Cricetulus griseus: one gene and its partner. The protein of the gene in region 2 interacts with the protein of the main gene of each other region in a pairwise test. Links are inferred from orthologs where the notes say so. Each region holds a gene or a part of one and is shown on either strand. Other genes may lie near its edges. The genes, in order: Pdlim7 and Gem.

Evidence for each region.
Region 1: the proteins of Gem (region 2) and Pdlim7 interact in binary tests that used the Homo sapiens proteins (3 or more experiments, as listed by UniProt). The two-hybrid records come from large-scale screens. The link is inferred for Cricetulus griseus from reciprocal best matches to the Homo sapiens genes GEM and PDLIM7.

The regions. Positions count from the first base shown.
Region 1 is NC_048596.1:274,497,674-274,502,196, reverse strand, and holds the start of Pdlim7 (PDZ and LIM domain protein 7), read left to right. Parts: upstream 1-1,432; 5' UTR 1,433-1,556; intron 1,557-2,500; 5' UTR 2,501-2,511; coding exon 2,512-2,607; intron 2,608-4,523. UniProt on the Homo sapiens protein: May function as a scaffold on which the coordinated assembly of proteins can occur. May play a role as an adapter that, via its PDZ domain, localizes LIM-binding proteins to actin filaments of both skeletal muscle and nonmuscle tissues.
Region 2 is NC_048595.1:125,845,754-125,849,558, reverse strand, and holds part of Gem (GTP-binding protein GEM), read right to left. Parts: intron 3,380-3,805; coding exon 3,303-3,379; intron 2,533-3,302; coding exon 2,328-2,532; intron 919-2,327; coding exon 641-918; 3' UTR 1-640. UniProt on the Homo sapiens protein: Could be a regulatory protein, possibly participating in receptor-mediated signal transduction at the plasma membrane. Has guanine nucleotide-binding activity but undetectable intrinsic GTPase activity.

The DNA of each region.
Region 1 (4,523 bases), on a different chromosome or scaffold from region 2:
TAGACGATCTGGAATCCATGCACACTCAAGGGCCAAAGGGCCAGCCCGTCCACACGGGGAGGCCTTATTTCTTTTTACTTTTATTTCATGTGTATGGGTGTTTTACACTGCGAGCTTTATTTCTTTTTACTTTTATTTCATGTGTATGGGTGTTTTACACGGGGACCCTTATTTCTTTTTACTTTTATTTCATGTGTATGGGTGTTTTACACGGGGACCCTTATTTCTTTTTACTTTTATTTCATGTGTATGAGTGTTTTGCCGGCATGTTAATATGTGCACTACATGTGTGCCTCGTGCCTGAAGAGGCCAGAAGAGGGCATTGAATCTTAAAAGAAAAGAAAGCAATGGAGAAAGGGAGTGGTCGGCCTGGCCTTGACCAGCATGCCTCAGCAGGACGGGATGAGACCTGAAGGCTGCAGCTGACTTGATGGAGGTCGTGGAGACCTCGAGTACCATAGAGACAAGGGACAGCAAGAGGAAAAAGCAACGCAGACAGAACAGCAGAGTACCAAGGAGCATTTCTTCAAAGATGACATCTCCTGCAGGAGTTTGAGCCGTCGGGACAATGTTGGGGAAGGGGGATGTATGTAAGGATGGTAGGAGGGCGTGGGGGGGGGTCGTGCCCCCCACCATTCACTCTAACACTCAGGAGAATCGGCTTTCCTTCCCTCTGCCGTGACAGCTCCTTCCACCCCACCCCCACAGGACGGACTGTGTGCTCGGGAGGGGTGTTCAGGGGATACAGTCCGTCCCAATAGTGGTGCTTGGTGGATGTCGCAGAGCTGTGGACTGCTGGCTCTGTCTGGATGGACTCTTACTGTCAGGCCCCATGTGGGGCTAAGGGCCTCCTCCAACTCCGTTGGCTCTTACTATTTATTTGTTTATCTATTATTTATTTCCTTATGTATTGGTTTCCAGATTATCCTGCAAGCCTAGCTTTGGTTGGTTGGTTGGCTTTGGTTTGGGGGATTGAACCAGGGGTCTCTACCACTGAGCTACATCCCCAGCCCCGGGAAAGCTAACTTGCAACTACCCTGTCTCGCTGCTTCTCCATTCCCTGGAATTCAGAAATTCTGAAATCTCCGGTGGCGCGGACCACGGCCGCTTTGACCTGTACCGTATCCCTGACAGAAGGGTATTATGAGGCTATTCTCCCCTACAAGGGGAGAATGAGGTGAGAGAAGACCTCTACAGCCGGGGTGTTTTAAAAGGCTGCTTTCTCTTCCCCCTCGCCAGTGGGAGGCGCAAGGGGCTTGGGTGAGAGCCCGGAGCGGGGCGCAGGCTGGCGGCGACCAGGCTCGGGAGGGTCATTGCCCGGGTAAATGCGCGACCCTCCGTCCCTGTCCTGGAGACTCAGGGCTTGGGGACGGGGTGGGGCCTCGCACCGACCCCGGGATGTCCACTCGCGTGGCCTGGGGAGGGCGTGGCCTAGGGCTCCGCCCCCTTCCGCGGGCTCAAAAGGCGCGGCGTCCGCGGAGGCGGGGTCAGAGCGCAGCGCGGATCCCAGCAAGGCTCCCGGAGGCCGCCGAGCCGCGGCCCAGCCGGGCACCCAGGTACTGGCGGCCGCGGGGGGTTCCTGGGCTGCACCCCGTGGGGTCCCGTGGCCCGCTGAGGTGCTGCGGGGGGCGTGGCGGCCGTGGCCTGCGCCGGATCCCCTCGGTTGGCTTCGGCCGCAGCCTCCGCCCCCGCCTTCCTGCGGCGGTGCGGCTGATTGGCGCCTGCGCCACCGTGTGCGGTGGGGACGCGACCAAGCGCGGGGCTGGGGCTGGAGACGAGGGGAAACAGAGTCACGTTGGGAAGGGAGCTTCGTGCGTGTGTGCCACCACTTTTACTGGCTTCCAGAAAGAGTCCCCTCCCTGGCCGCGCGTTAGGGACATGACCCCCGCCACTCTCCATGGGGACAGCGCCCCGTTTCTTACCCCCCTTGCAGTGCCCGGGGTCCCACCCTGGCTTCCAGCAGCCTCGACCTGTCCCAAAATGGCTAGGACCCGCTGCAGCGGCCTCCTTCCTCGCCCCTCCCCCTCACGTCCCGAGCCCCTAAAGTGCTCCCTCCACGGGCTCTCCACAGTGTCAGCTTACACGCCTTATATAGTCCGAGCAGGCTCCAGCGGCCTGCTGGGACCCGGGGAAGGAGGGGGAGCTGGCCCCTGACTCACCCTGCCGCCCTCCTGAGATTCCAGGTTAGCTTGGGCGAAGCAGTGCCAATTAGCCCCACAGCCCACCCCCGGGAGAGAAAAGAAGTTAGACTTGATGAGAACTTTGCTCACCCTCCCAGTGGCAGGGGCCAGGGTGGGGAACTGACTTGTCTGTTGCCTGTGAGGTCTGCCAGCCGGGAGCCCCGCCAAACCCAACAAGATACCTGCCTCCCAGTGCCTGTGTGTGCTGAGCGTCTCTCTGTGCCTTCTGGTACCTGGCTAACGCTAGTGACCAGATCTGGACCTGCTGGGCCATCTGCAGTGCTGGGTGCGGCCACTCACTTTCTCTTCTGTCCTCACAGGAGCAGGCACCATGGATTCCTTCAAGGTAGTGCTGGAGGGGCCAGCACCTTGGGGCTTCCGGCTGCAAGGGGGCAAGGACTTCAATGTGCCCCTCTCCATCTCTCGGGTAAGCCTAGACTGGGGAATGCACTCCCCAAGGGTTCTTGGGTGCCCATGTTTCCAGCAAATGGTGGGAAGAAACAGCAAGAGCGAGCAAGCTGCTCAGGGGCCAACAGGACACCAGCATCCAGGTCCAAATGGGCCCTTACTTCAAGGACTCCTGGCTAGGTGGATAGTGGAATGGGGAGCCCCCCCCCCCCAGCTGCCCTGCTTTGACATGGTACTTGATGCTATTCCAAGCCCCCTTGGCCATCTGTGAGTGCCAAGGAGAAGCCTATTTTACAATATGGGAGGTTGATGTCTCCAAGAAGTGCTTTAGCATGAAGAACAGTGTGTGGCACCAGGTGCCAGGCAGGACCTAACTTTAATGTCACTGCTATCCAAGGCATAGCAGTTGTCATCCTGCTTTGCCAAGTGACAGGACTTGGAGGGATGGAGGAGCTCAACCAGCAAGTCCCTGGCAGAGCAAGAATATGAACTGAGGCACAAAATGGCTTGTCCTTCCTGTAAGTTTAAGGGGTCTCTTCCCAGCTGAGTGAGGACTGAGCAGGCTGAGACTCAGGTCCTCAGCCTGCTGGTTCTGGTCAGGCTGTAGTGACCTTTGACCCTAAGCAGAGGTGTAGTGAGGCTAGCCTCCAGGATTCTTGTTCCCATTCTTCAGTCTGCCCTGATGGGGGGTGGGGCTGGGAGCTGACTCCTCCCTGTGGCAGGGGGATTGCCTTATAAGCCCAAGAATGTAGCCCCAGCTGGGATGGCCAACAGTGGCCAGTCAACAGAACCCAAAAGGGTTGGCCTAGGTCTAGGCCCCTTAGCGCCATTGGTGGGCCCTTCACCTGATCATCAGTCATTTTGTGTCAGTGGGACTCAAAGCAAACTTTGTGCCAGAGTGGGTGAGGCCAGGGCGCCAGCTTGGTAGCTCTGACTGGCCTAGGGGGTCAAAAAAGGGGCAGGGACTTCCTGCCCTGATAGCCTCCTGCCTAGAGAGGCCCACCCAGCCACAGAGTAGGCATGCAGCTGTTGGCAGGAAGCCCAAGGCAAGCCCAGCCCGAAGGGGCCTGAGAACTTCCCGACACTGCTCAGCCTGAGAGGGGTGTCAAGGCTGCATCTCTCAGTGGGAGCTGGACATCAGATATCGGACATCGAGGCTAGGGCAGGCATACAGACAAACAGGCTGCGTTCTTCCCAGGACCCTTCCCTGGGGCCCTCTTGGAATCCGCCCCAACCAGCAGGGTGACTAAGGCAGTGGGCCCTCCCCCCATGCACATCCTACATCTCCCTCCTCCCGGGAGTGCTGGCCAGTGTGGTGTAGGGCTTGCTTTCTTCCTGGGTAACGATGGCCTCTTAGATGTTGCCTGTTGGAGGCACTCTGGTCCCTGGGTTCCTTTGTCAGCAGCCTTAACGTGTGGGTGGGGCTACCAGCTGAGCCCTGCCCTGGAATGGGTGGGGTGGTCTTTCCTAAATTGGGCCAGCCTGCTATCCCTCCCCTGACCCCAGAGTAGAGGGAGGAAGGAGGGGCGAGGCCTGGCTGTGGGCCCAGGCCTGGAAAATGAGGTAATGTCTGGGATTTGGGGGTTGGGCAGCTCAGTAGAGCTCCCAGGCTGACTCACCCACATCCATAAAGCTGTCCAGCCCCCTGGCTTTTTACCTCCTTAATCTCACTAGCCACCTTTCCCAAAGGGCCCTGCCCCATGCTGCTGTCCCCACTCTGACCACTGTCTTACCCCCACATCCTTCCTGCCCTCCTCACCCCATAAAAGTAGTTCCTCACTCACTCCTCCACTCCCTTTCTGGGAGCCAGCTGCTCCTCCTCCTAGGACCCCCCCCCCCCCACACACACACCCCTGGGTCTCACCCCACACCTCTCAGGAAGCAGGCTGCCTGTAGAGGAAGGAGTGGCTAAACCAGGTTTCCATCTCCTGACTG
Region 2 (3,805 bases):
GCATTTGTAAGACACAAGGGTAAACAATCTTTTGAACTACAAGTGCTACATACATCAGCTCCTAAGTCTACAAATCTCTGTGGGCTTTAAAGAAAAGAACTGTTAGTGAGCTTAGTTTCCAGCAAAGTCCAACACTTCTCATAGTCACAACTGTGATGAGACTGGTTCTACACCTGTCATTCCAGGGAGATGAGGATTCAGAATGCCCTCCTCCTTCCAATAAACTCTCACCATTTTCTTAGATTTCTTTATGACTCAAGGGCGTCAAATTCACATAGAACAAAACTGGGCAACACTTCAATGATTAGACACACTCCTGTTCTAGGTATTCTTCATAAGCTTCAATATTCTGCTGCCCAAAGAAGGCAAAAACAAAACTCATGTGAACCCCAAATATGCCCTTAAATGAGTCTCAGGTGCCCATGTAGCAAATCAAGATGTTCCTATGAATAAATACTGACTCTTGACAAAGATTCCTTGCCCGTGCACTTGGTTGCCCATGAGGCTAACCTGTTGGTTCCCATTTGCAACAGGGGAAGCCACCACTAACAATGCTTATGTATTCAATCTAATATAGATCACTGGTCCCAAGGGCCTTCTACGATGTCCATCAAGGGGACATCTGGGTGACACTGGGTGCCTAGAGAACAGAGAGGTCATGGCAGGATTTTGACTTGAGCTTGAAGGCCATGTTCTTGTTGTTCTTGGCCACAATCTTGCCCCAGAAGCGCCTGGCTTTCCTGGGGATGCTCTCCCTCCTCTTCTGGTAGGCCAGCCTCCTCTCGTTCTTCTCCTTGCTGTCCCGGCGCAGGCGGACCTGCCTCACGATGCCCTCAAACAGTTCCTTCACATTGTGCTGCACGGCTGCAGACGTCTCAATGAATTTGCAGTCGAACACCACAGCACAAGCTCTCCCTTCTGGAAAGGAGGAAGAGGAAAGAAAGTCAGAGGGGTCACAGAGTATGATCCTGCACAGTGTGGTCAAGCTAAAGGACACTTCTCCAAAACTGCAATAGAGATAGCATAGAGCAGTAGACTGCATTGTAAGAGGAGGGGGGCACCAGGGCACACATCTTCCCCCGGGTAAGAGTAGAAATAAACAATAAGAGGATTCCAGGAAACCGGTTAGATCCAGCTCACCAAAAATTCACTATGGAAAAGTAAAATTTCATCAAATACACTGATACTAATTACAACAGCAAGAGCCCTGGCCTCCACTTCCTAAAGGTTTGCTACATTCACAAAAGCAGGCCAAGTTCTTTCCAAAGCCTTTTCACTGCTCAGAACAAACTTGGAAAATATACCATTATTATCATCGGAGAGACGAAGAAACTGAGTGAAGTGTTTAAAAATGGGAAGGAACTCACACAGCTGACAGTGACAGGACAACCAGCCCTGTTCCGTGCTCAAGCTTATACACTTTCTCCTGACTCAGTGTCCCTCACTAAAAACTCTAATTCCAAGTTTACTATTTAGCTTTCCTGTCTTTTAAAAAGAAAAGTATGATGAGATGAGATCTTTTGAGGAATATGATGATTTTATAAATATATAAAACGTCAAACTATTCAAGCTTTTCTAAAACTCTTGATTTCAGATATTATGTTTAGTAGCCATGTGTCCAAGTTTGAGTTTGAAAAGATCTAAACACGGAATACTGTGGTGTCCTAGTAAGACAGTCCAAGTAGCTAGAAAAATCATTTTGACTGAGCAGGGCCTGAAAGTGCCATATTTCATTTTTATGGTTCTACGCAATCTACATTAAACCAATATAATCTCGAGGGCCTTAAAAAGAATACAGAGGCACACTCATCAAATAGGAATGACCCTTGAAATAAGGATGGAGACTCATGTGTGGTCCCAACAGTATCATGCTCTCCCAGAAGTTTAGGAAGGAGGGGCTGGGGTTAGAGAGTATTAGATGGAGTACTAACAACCCAAGTATAACTGTTTCTTTTGTCTCCTAACCAAGAGCTCCCCATCCTTGCATTAATACACCACTTTTCCTCCCCTAAATGTAGAATCTGCTTGAAGAATAAAAGGTTAAGAAGCAAAGGTCAAGACTGCCAGTAAATTCCTGAGGATGCTCTCTTCCCTAAAGTAACTCCAGGAGAACACCCAAAGGGCAGTGGGAAGCCTGGAACCCTTTAGGTAGACCAGAGGATGAAGAGAACAAGAGATGACTAACAAAACTGATGGGAACCATTGGAGTCTTAGACATAAGCCTTCATGGAGCATCCCACTGAGGCCCTGGAAAAGGGAGAGAGAACCCCACTGTGGTCCAGTGTATGCAGTACAAGGGCGGTGCCCAGAATTGCACACCCTCTCACCTGACACAGACACTTCTCGGCACCTCACTAAGTCACTTTTGTTGCCAACCAAAATGATGGGAATGTCTTCTGTCTGTCGGGCCCTGCGGAGCTGGATCCTTAGCTCAGATGCCTTCTCAAAGCTCGCTCGGTCTGTGATGGAGTAGACGATGAGGTAGGCATCCCCAACCTGCATGCAATGGTCCTGGAGCCATTCATTCTCCCCCTAATGAAATACGAAGACCTCCCGTGAGCTTAGGCAAGCCTGAAAATTGAGGTGTCATTTTGCAAAGAAACTGCATGTCTATCCCAAGTAAGAGAAAGGAAGAAAACTGCTTCCAACACCTCAATATGCATTGTCTTCCAAGATGTCTAGGGACAAAAAAAAGCAGTCTGCATTGTTTTTATGCCCAAGAAACTTATTTTCCAATTACTAGTACAGCTTGAGCTGATATGGTGCATAGCTACTGTGACAAACAGTATTTCCGATTACAATCTAGCCTGCCCAAAATGGACTTTTCTGACTCCCTAAAAGCTTCCTTTTGTTTTCCCCAAAGGGCAGAACTACAAATCCTTTGGGAGAATAGGAGGGTTCTCAATCAACCAACAATCTTGCATATGTACTGGGAGACCTAGAACCATCAAAAGCCATGCTGGAATGCAGTGTTGAGAAGGTCAGCTTCACACAAAGTGGTTTTGTGTCATTGAAAATAAGTGACCATGCTTGTTTGAACTTTCCCTAAAACAAATACGTTTCTTGTGGTTTTTAATAGAACTCAGGGCAAGCCACTGCAATTTGTTTGTTCTTTAGGGCTCATCTGTGGACGACCTGTTCCTCAGCAGTCTCGTTCTTCAGAAGTAAATGTTTTTAATCAAGAAAATGAGCCCACTGCATCTGGAACATCCACTATGTAGGACAAGGTCACTCTGGCCCCAAGCAGCCTGTTGAAAGGCAAGGCCTAAAAGAAATCACTGGCAGCCACAGGCCCTGCATACCTTATTTTCCCACATGTCCAGGAGGATAATCGTTGCACTCTCACCATCAACGACCAGGGTGCGCTCATATGTGTCTTCTAGAAAAGAAAGAACATTGCTATCAGAGTCAGGTGATTAAGAAAGACTTGGGCATAAGAGGCTCCTGTCAAAGTCTCACTAGAAATATGTTCTGTGGGGGCTGAGGAGGCATCTCTCAGTAAGTAACATGCTGACTGAGCAAGCGCAAGGACTGAGTTCAGTCCTCAGAACCCATGTGCAAAGCCAAGCATGGCGGTGAGCACTTGTAACCCTTGCTTTAGGAAGGCAGAAACAGGCATATCCTTAGGGTCCACTGGCCAGCCAGCCTAGCCAACTCAGCTAGCTCCAAGCCCAGAGGCTCTGTCTCACAAAACAAGATGGCTGTCTCGGGAAGAACAACCCGAGTCTGACTTCTGGTATCCATGTGCACATGTACACAAATCTACACATATGTGCTCTCACATGAACATGTTCCTCCAGAGAGA